Bombyx mori: one gene and its partner. The protein of the gene in region 1 purifies or fractionates together with the protein of each later gene. This does not show direct contact. Links are inferred from orthologs where the notes say so. Each region holds a gene or a part of one and is shown on either strand. Other genes may lie near its edges.

Region 1 (4,354 bases):
TCCCCAAACTGTTTTTATATTATTATTATTTCTGATGAATAAATGCATTCACGTCATATGTATATATATTTTTCACTTCAAATTTAACGATGAGAATTAAATGATCAATTTCAGAAATTTTTTATGTGTCACTCTTTAAACTCACAAAACCATTTCCACATTAATATTAATTCAATTCCCCATCTTTTTAGAAAAAGAAAAAAATCCACTCTGGTAACCGTGAACTGACGTATGAGATTTTCTATGGTTTTTTTCTTCATTTGGGCAGACACATGGATCCAAGTGACTATAAAACTCAAGGTTCATTCATATATTTTAAGTACGAAAGTCATGCCGTTTTTTAAAAGACAAAAATAAAATCAATTAACTCTAGTAAAAAGGTTTCTCACCTTTACTACGACTAAAAAGGTATTTTTGGGAGAACCTGAGAAGACTTGTCGAGTGAATACTAAAAAATCAACCAGCTACAATTAAGCCAGAAAAAAAAAAAAAATTGACAAATTAAAACAATTAAAATATCAAGATTCAACAAGAAGAAACAAAGTTCTAACCGTTATAAAAAATCCTTGTATTTTGATGCTGTCCAATGAGAAATTCACTAACCTTTCTCAAAGTCCACAACAGTAAGCATTTCAGTCTGCAATTCGACACTTTGTTCTATGAGTATTCAAATTAATTAATTAAAACCAAATTTCGGACTTAATGTTACCATGTAATGAATTTTAACACCCAAAATTTATTATCATAAAAGAATTTGTACATTTCCTTAGTGACGTTACTCAAATTAGTCTTTGAGTGGTTAATTTTTGATCATTCTTTTGAATTTTTCTACTTTCCAAAATATGTAAGTGGTGCTTCTCTTACAAATAAACACACAAAATATTTCTCTGTGTGGCTGTAATAAATACTTAAATTCCTGCTCATGTTTGATGACTTGTAGGTTAGGATGTAGACAGTAAGCCTGAAAATTTTTTTTCATTGTTGGTAATATATAATGCTAAGTTGTAGTAAAATAAAAAATTGTATGGAGTTTCAGGTTGTTGACCATGATCTTTTTCACGCATCTATACAATAAATTAATTAAAGAATGGCTTAGCATTTCTATCAGGTAGATCCAAGGTCTAATGAAAGCAAATGATTATAGTCATTTAGATTTTTTTGAAAACTGTTAGTAACAGCTATGCGCCATTAAAAAACCATTTCATACAAAATAAAAAAATCAATTAATAAATGCGAAAGTGAAGTGTATTTTTTTTAATCATTGCTTTGCACATATTCATTGATATTCAAACAACATAATATTATTCTAGTGAACACAAAACAAGAATTTATCCTACTTTCAGGTCAAGATAATAGATTTTTTATTTCTGTATATTATTATGCCATAAATAAAGACAGTTGATAACTTATTTTGTCGTAAGAATATCTTTTAGTATACCTCCACTGGCAGATTGGCATATATTCAGTGCATAATAAGAGATTGGCTTGGCAGCCCAGTTGTAGATATGGCAACATTGATTTTAACGCTGCCTGCCATTTTCGTTTTGTGGCACAGTAAGCGGCGGTCCTAATGTGTAATTCTCGTAATATCTTGAGTTTGTTATCATTGTAAAACGTTTGTTAAGAATAGTGTACCCGTTTAATGTGACCTGGAAAAACGTGACAGTTGTAGTGTTCAAAGTTAACACCAAAGTAAAGATAAATTGTTGACTTCCTTGGGTGGAGAGGGTGAGTAGGTATTTCTTTATTATTTGATTTTGTATCTTAAAATTGTTTCGTTAATATATTAGTAAGGGATATGTTTATTGCATATTTCCCATGTATTAGATTGTAAATTTTTTACAAGTTAATTGTTTCGCATTGTAAGACCTCTAGGGCGTAGTGGTAAGCACCGAAGGTTTATCATTAGTGTAAAGTGTCACCACACCTATGTTTAACTGTCATCATTGATAGAAATATGTAAAATGCGAATGTCTATGAAATATATGAACGATTATTTCTTAAAAGTTATAGAGAAATCAAATTTAATTAAAAATATAATCAAATTCAGTATTAAAAAAAAAACTATTTTTAACAAATCCTTATCTATAAACCGAATACATCATATAAGTCTAAAATTGACGTATCAATTAATTACCTAGTATGGTAAAAATAAGTATGTAAAGAAGATCCAATTAGATTTAAATTTTTGAATAAAATGTTCATAGATGGAAAGAAGTATGGTTCAAATTTAATAAGCGAATTAAAGAAATGAAAAACAAAGAAACTAATATGTTTTATGATACAGTAATTAGTGTTTGGAGCTTTTATGGGTTATTTTAACTTTAGAGCACTTTTCCAGAATCAACTTTGTTACTACAATTAACACCACAACTATCTTTGACTAACTTTGGGCAGCAACGTTAGTTAAGTATGTGCAGATTGCACAAAATAAATTGAAAATTTACACCAAAAAATTAGTCACTGGGATAGTCTGGCAAGAAAGGTAAAGTGATATTTGGTAAAGAGAGAAAGTTATGAGTGTTTTCAACTCGTTATAACATACATCATGCAAATCTTAAATTAAAATTTTGTATGATATACATTGTAGACGTAACCCTCTTATAACACAGTATTTTGTAACACTGTTCCACTCAAACACCAAAAGAAAAATTCTCCGAAACCATCATACTAAAATGTAGTATTTTTACAAAACAATAATCAGGGTTTTGTTTAAAATTATTAAGAAAATTACATTATGCACTTTGAACACAATATATGGGAATAACTGAAATTTAACTAATTTAAAATATATAATAGGTTAGTTACATTACATAGTTGAGATGTTTCATTCAGAAAAATTAGTCCCCTTTTGTTCTGGTTTCAAGTCTCATATAACATGGTTTGGCACAATACGGGATTTTGTAAGAATGTATCTACTCTATTATAGAATGGTTACATGTATTATATTTTTAAAGGTGATTAACAATCAATTATCAATAAATCCTAAATATCTATCATATTTTGATTATTTTACATTAAGGGGCCTACCTTGGTTTTTGGTTATTTATTGGATATACATGAACATGTGCTAGGCCTATAAGCATTATTTTGCATGTTAAATAGACAAAATGTTGACAGCTTTCCTAATGGGATTACAATACTTCGTATTGCAAGTCTTTATGAAGCAATACTTTAGTCGTCGTGGCCTAACGGATAAGACGTCCGGTGCACTCGTGTTGAGTGTGTTGATGTTCGAATCTCAGGCGGGTACCAATTTTTCTAATGAAATACGTACTCAACAAATGTTCACGATTGACTTCCACGGTGAAGGAATAACATCGTGTAATAAAAATCAAACCCGCAAAATTATAATTTGCGTAATTACTGGTGGTGGGACCTCTTGTGAGTCCGCGCGGGTGGGTACCACCGCTCTGTCTATATCTGCCGTGAAGCAGTAATGCGTTTCGGTTTGAAGGGTGGGGCAGCCGCTGTAACTATACTGAGACCTTAGAACTTATATCTCAAGGTGGGTGGCGCATTTACGTTGTGGATGTCTATGGGCTCCAGTAACCACTTAACACCAGGTGGGCTGTATATGACAAATTCAAATATAAAAATTTGATATACCAATTTCAAACTGAAGGCTAACTTTTATGACCATCAAATATACTACACTACAGTGCTCAAGATGATCTTAAACACTGCACTTTTACCCTAAAGAGATTTTGTTACAAATGTTGTAATAGATTATCATACAAGATATTTATAACGAACACTGTAACTTAACAATAAACTAACAATCTTTTGTAACATCATTTGATTAACTACAATATTAATGATCTTTTAATACCAAAATATATCATTTAATGTCATGCCACTGTAAACAAATCACTATTAGAATAGTTGAATCAGAATGAATGTAGTTTTAAGTATATCCTGATTTTTAAAAGTATTTTTGATCAATAATTTTAAGAATTGATATCTGATATGTCCTATATTAGTGGTAGAAGTTTGTATGTGTCACACAGCTGCAAGTTATAAACATAACAGAGGCAAAACAGCAACCATGAAGTCTTATGTTCTTGTCCAGCCTCTAGTGATTCTTTTGAGGGGTTTGGTAGTTGGGGGAGGGTAATCCATCTACTGTTTAAAGTTAGGGTTATAAGAGCATCATAGTATTAAACTCTAAACTATCCCGGAAATACTTAAAAAATTGTATATCTCTTATCACCCTGCCCTCTGCGATGGCAAGTCTAACGACGGGAGATAAAGATGTATTGTTGTAACAACTCAATCTAGGGAGCAGACAGACTCTAGAGTAGTCTAGAGCAAAGAAACGTTCGTAAGGCAAAGCACTTAGTGCGAAATAAAT
Region 2 (4,071 bases), on another chromosome or scaffold:
CAAAAAGGCAAGGGATTAAAAATGTGCTGATCAATTTCCCTTACACCAGTAAGTTCAAATTTCCTAGCTAAAGCTCACACACATTATTTACTTTGCACATTTAGAATGGTTTATGAGTGTTTGGTATAAATGTTAATAAAATCAATGAAGTCGAATGAAAAGTTTGCTTTTAGGCAAGATCAAGTTACATACCAACTTATTCTATTTGTGGATGAGGCCATTTTGAAAATAAAACAACAATTAGTTATTACTTGTATACCTGATTTTATATAATACATTATACTAATGATACGTAATTAAATTGAAATAGCTTTGAAAACAATATAAATTAATATTTAAACATTTATTTTGATAAAGTATTTTTAATTCTTATCAATTTATAGTCTTTATTTTGATTCTTGAAAAGCTACTTAGTTATATTTTTTGTTTTAATTATAAATACTAGTACTCCTAATACATATTTGTTTATACTACATCAAAATTAATAAGACAAAATTGAGTATAACCTCACTGCAATGAAGTAGCTGAGATACTACAAAAATATCAACATACAATTTATTTATACTAAGTTTAGTTTTAAATGTACCATATGGAAACTTAATGAGAATTCGTGTACTTACTGCGCAGTCGGTATGAGTGTTACTACAGTGGACATTGTGTGCGGTATTTCCAAAACACCGAGTTCCACCAACGCTAGGAGTCCTTGACAGGCTGTCAGGCTCACAACAGGATCTTTGGACGAACATTTCTTCCTCAAAAACTTCAATTCCTCGTTTTCCAAAACGAATCTCTGTCGTTCTTCACGTTTGAATTTTGATTTTATCAATGTTATCAACTTTTCTACTGCGTTGACTATTAAGACACTGTTGTTAGTTTTCAATTTGTATTCGATTTCGTCCATTTTTATGTTTTCTGTGTAAAATTTGTAAGCCGGTAATTTATAGGCTATTGCAGATACAGATTTTTTTAAGTTAATTTCTAACCTAAGTCCTAAATCAAACAGCTGTTTAATGTTGTCATTTTTTGTTCATCTTGTTCACTTGAACAGGAAAAGGGCACATTGCTCGTACAGCCAAATCTTGAAATAAAAAAAATAAAAAATTAACCTTCTTTACAAAAACAATTGGATATTTATGCTACGTATGATGTATTAGCACGAGAACGATCTCATAGCTCGCCTGATTTAAAGCACCACATCCATGGCCCATAGACATCCCAAAATAAATTCCGCCACATACCTTGAGACACAAGATCAAAGTTTCATTTGTATGGTTTAACGGTTGTATCTCGGAACGTATACTGCTAGGCAGTAGAACTACAATAGGTGAATATACCTGCCCAGGGCTAACAATACGTCCTACTACAAGAAAATGTCGTTTGGAGATCGCAATAGGACGGTATACTCAAGGAACGCTGCTTGCCACTCCACGGTGAATGACTTCGTCGACTTTTGTGACACTGATGAGTAGAGATATTGTAGTGGATTCTGATTCTAAGCTGACATCGCATCCTCTGCCTCAATTAGAACAATCAACGAGCAAAATTCTAAGCTGTCAAATGTCAAACTATTATTATTTGTTTGAAACACTGAATGAATGAAAAGATTTACCTCAATTTGATTCATTAATTAAACTTGATAACTCTTTTAAAATACTTAAGTACAGAGTAAATCTACTTTATAAGCTATTTAAAATAAGTCGTGACTGATTATATATAATGTCGACGCCTCCAAGAGAAACAATACAGAAACAAATCCAGCAGGATTGGGCCAACAGAGAATACATAGAAGTGATCACAGGCAGCATAAAAAAAATTACAGACTTCCTCAATTCGTTCGGTAAGTGTATCAATATCAGCAGCTACAGGAGGTTCTTAAACAAGAAACATTTTAATTTCAAATTCAGAACACTATTAATTTTTCATAGGATAAGGTACTCGCCTTTCAAAACACAAGGAATGGAAAAATCTCAGTCGTCAGTGAAAAATGTAGTTTTCGAAACGATGGTAATAATAAAATAACAATAAAAATGGGAGATTAAACTGTAAATATATTTTCAATTAAACATACAACAAAAAAGTAGTCTACAACTACTGTTGTCTACAACTATTGTTGTCTACGACTATTGTTGTCTACAACTATTGTTGTCTACAACTATTGTTGTCTACAACTATTGTTGTCTACAACTTGCAGAACCCATAGAAAATATTCTGTTAAAACAGGTCAAAAAATGTAAGTCTTTATAAATGTGAAATTATCATAATATCATCAAATTTTCAGACATGTCCTGTAGATCTCGCCTTGCCACTTTGAATGAAAAATTAACATCATTAGAGAGGAAGATTGATTATTTGGAAGCTTGTGTAAGTAGTTACATATCGACGCTTGAAAGGCAAACGTGACTAAGCGACAATGCGTAAACTTTACAGTAGACTAATTTAAAGTTGAAATACCTGAAAACAAAATTTATTTTAATGAATCTATCTGTAGTAGAATCTAGCTAGTAGCTGTAAGATTGAAATGATTTTAATAGACATAGAAATATATTTTTTCTGTGCATCAAATATGGTTATTGCCTATCATTTATGTACAAAGCAGTTATTGTTGCTTAGTCACATTTGCCTTTCAAGCGTCGATATGATCAAATAGTTGTCAAATGCGCATCTGACATCATACGCATTACATCATAAATCTTCTAGATGAAGCTTGTATTTTTTTGCCTTTTTAGACAAATGAGGAAACACCACACCTGATGATGAGTGGTTATTGTTGCCCAACAATTTCTGCACTGCCAGAAGCAGTCTTGCTGCTGCAAATTACAGCAAAAAAAAAGTTCCTAACTAACTAATAAATTAATAAATAAAAAATCCTATTGAAATTATTCCAAAAAAGCACTCACTAAGTTTGGATGTGATTTTTTCAAACATCATTCAATAATGAAGTGAAACTTAAAATTCATAATTTTTTTATGAAATATGTACACATTTCTCTCATAAAGCAATTGTGTATTCTTGTTTCAAGAGTAAGATAAATACTTTCCAATTATTATGAGTTTAAAATTGACCTTCTGCATCAATTTGGATAGCACTATTTTGATGTCCATGGGTTTTTTTAAGTCCCTAGTAGCAGTTTGACTATAAACAAATCCAGTAATCTAGTAATTACCATATAAATTGTTTTTATTTTCAGGTAACTAAAGGTGAAACCTTAACATGAAGTAATCTTTGATAAATTCCATATAATTATAAGCGTTAGACATAAGTTCAATAATGTAGCAATCACTGAACAATCTCTACTCTCCAGTATAACAAAACTGCAATAAAATTTGGATATTAAAAGTACATATTATATATCGAACTACTTTGAAGCAATGTTAAAAAATATGTTATTATTAAGACCTGATATAGGTAAGGTGTGTTTAAATTATTGAAGCCACTGCTTTAGGCATGATGAGATTAGTATTAGGAGGCACTCTGTGGCAAGAATGAATAAAAATAGAATTTCTCTCGCTTTCTCCTCTGCTATCTATTTATTTCTTTTATGTTCCATTTCTGTTACTTTCAATGAGCTACACAAGAATATCTTTATTTATACATGTCTAAATTTTATATCTTTAAGTTCACTAAACTGAATCACACAAGAATGTGTTTATACACGTTTTGTATATGTATAAATTTTATATATTAAAGTTTACCAAAATCAGCACATTCCATTTGCAAAATTAGCTTTGTTGCTGATTCTTTCACCAAGAAAACAAGTTAAATATGTAAAGAAAAAATGTCAATTGTATTAGACTGAACATGCATAAAACAAAGTGGTTCTCTTTCTAGAAATTTATAAATAACTAACTGTAACCAATTTCGCGGAGAGTTGATGATGATTGCCTGAATCGCGGTAGTGTATTTGACTACAGACTCAAAGTAGAGGGGGACGGACGAAAAACTGAAACATAAATCTAGAAGTACATTCGAGTGCACATGTCTGATGTTTGGAGAAGGATTCAATAGATTCTTACTGTTTTTTTTTCCTACCTAAGCTGATAGCCTTGAGAGGCTATATCAGCGGAACCTTAA

Evidence for each region.
Region 2: the proteins of actin-binding protein WASF3 (region 1) and probable protein BRICK1-B purify together in Drosophila melanogaster (affinity purification with western blotting; 4 studies listed by BioGRID, with this or other methods). This does not show direct contact. The link is inferred for Bombyx mori from reciprocal best matches to the Drosophila melanogaster genes SCAR and HSPC300.

Annotation. Positions count from the first base shown.
Region 1 is NC_085109.1:3,354,016-3,358,369, forward strand, and holds the start of actin-binding protein WASF3, read left to right. Parts: upstream 1-1,498; 5' UTR 1,499-1,736; intron 1,737-4,354.
Region 2 is NC_085125.1:1,885,704-1,889,774, forward strand, and holds the start of probable protein BRICK1-B, read left to right. Parts: upstream 1-1,206; 5' UTR 1,207-1,716; coding exon 1,717-1,837; intron 1,838-2,278; coding exon 2,279-2,361; intron 2,362-3,187; coding exon 3,188-3,214; 3' UTR 3,215-4,071. Other genes in the region: focadhesin, read right to left, coding at 621-901.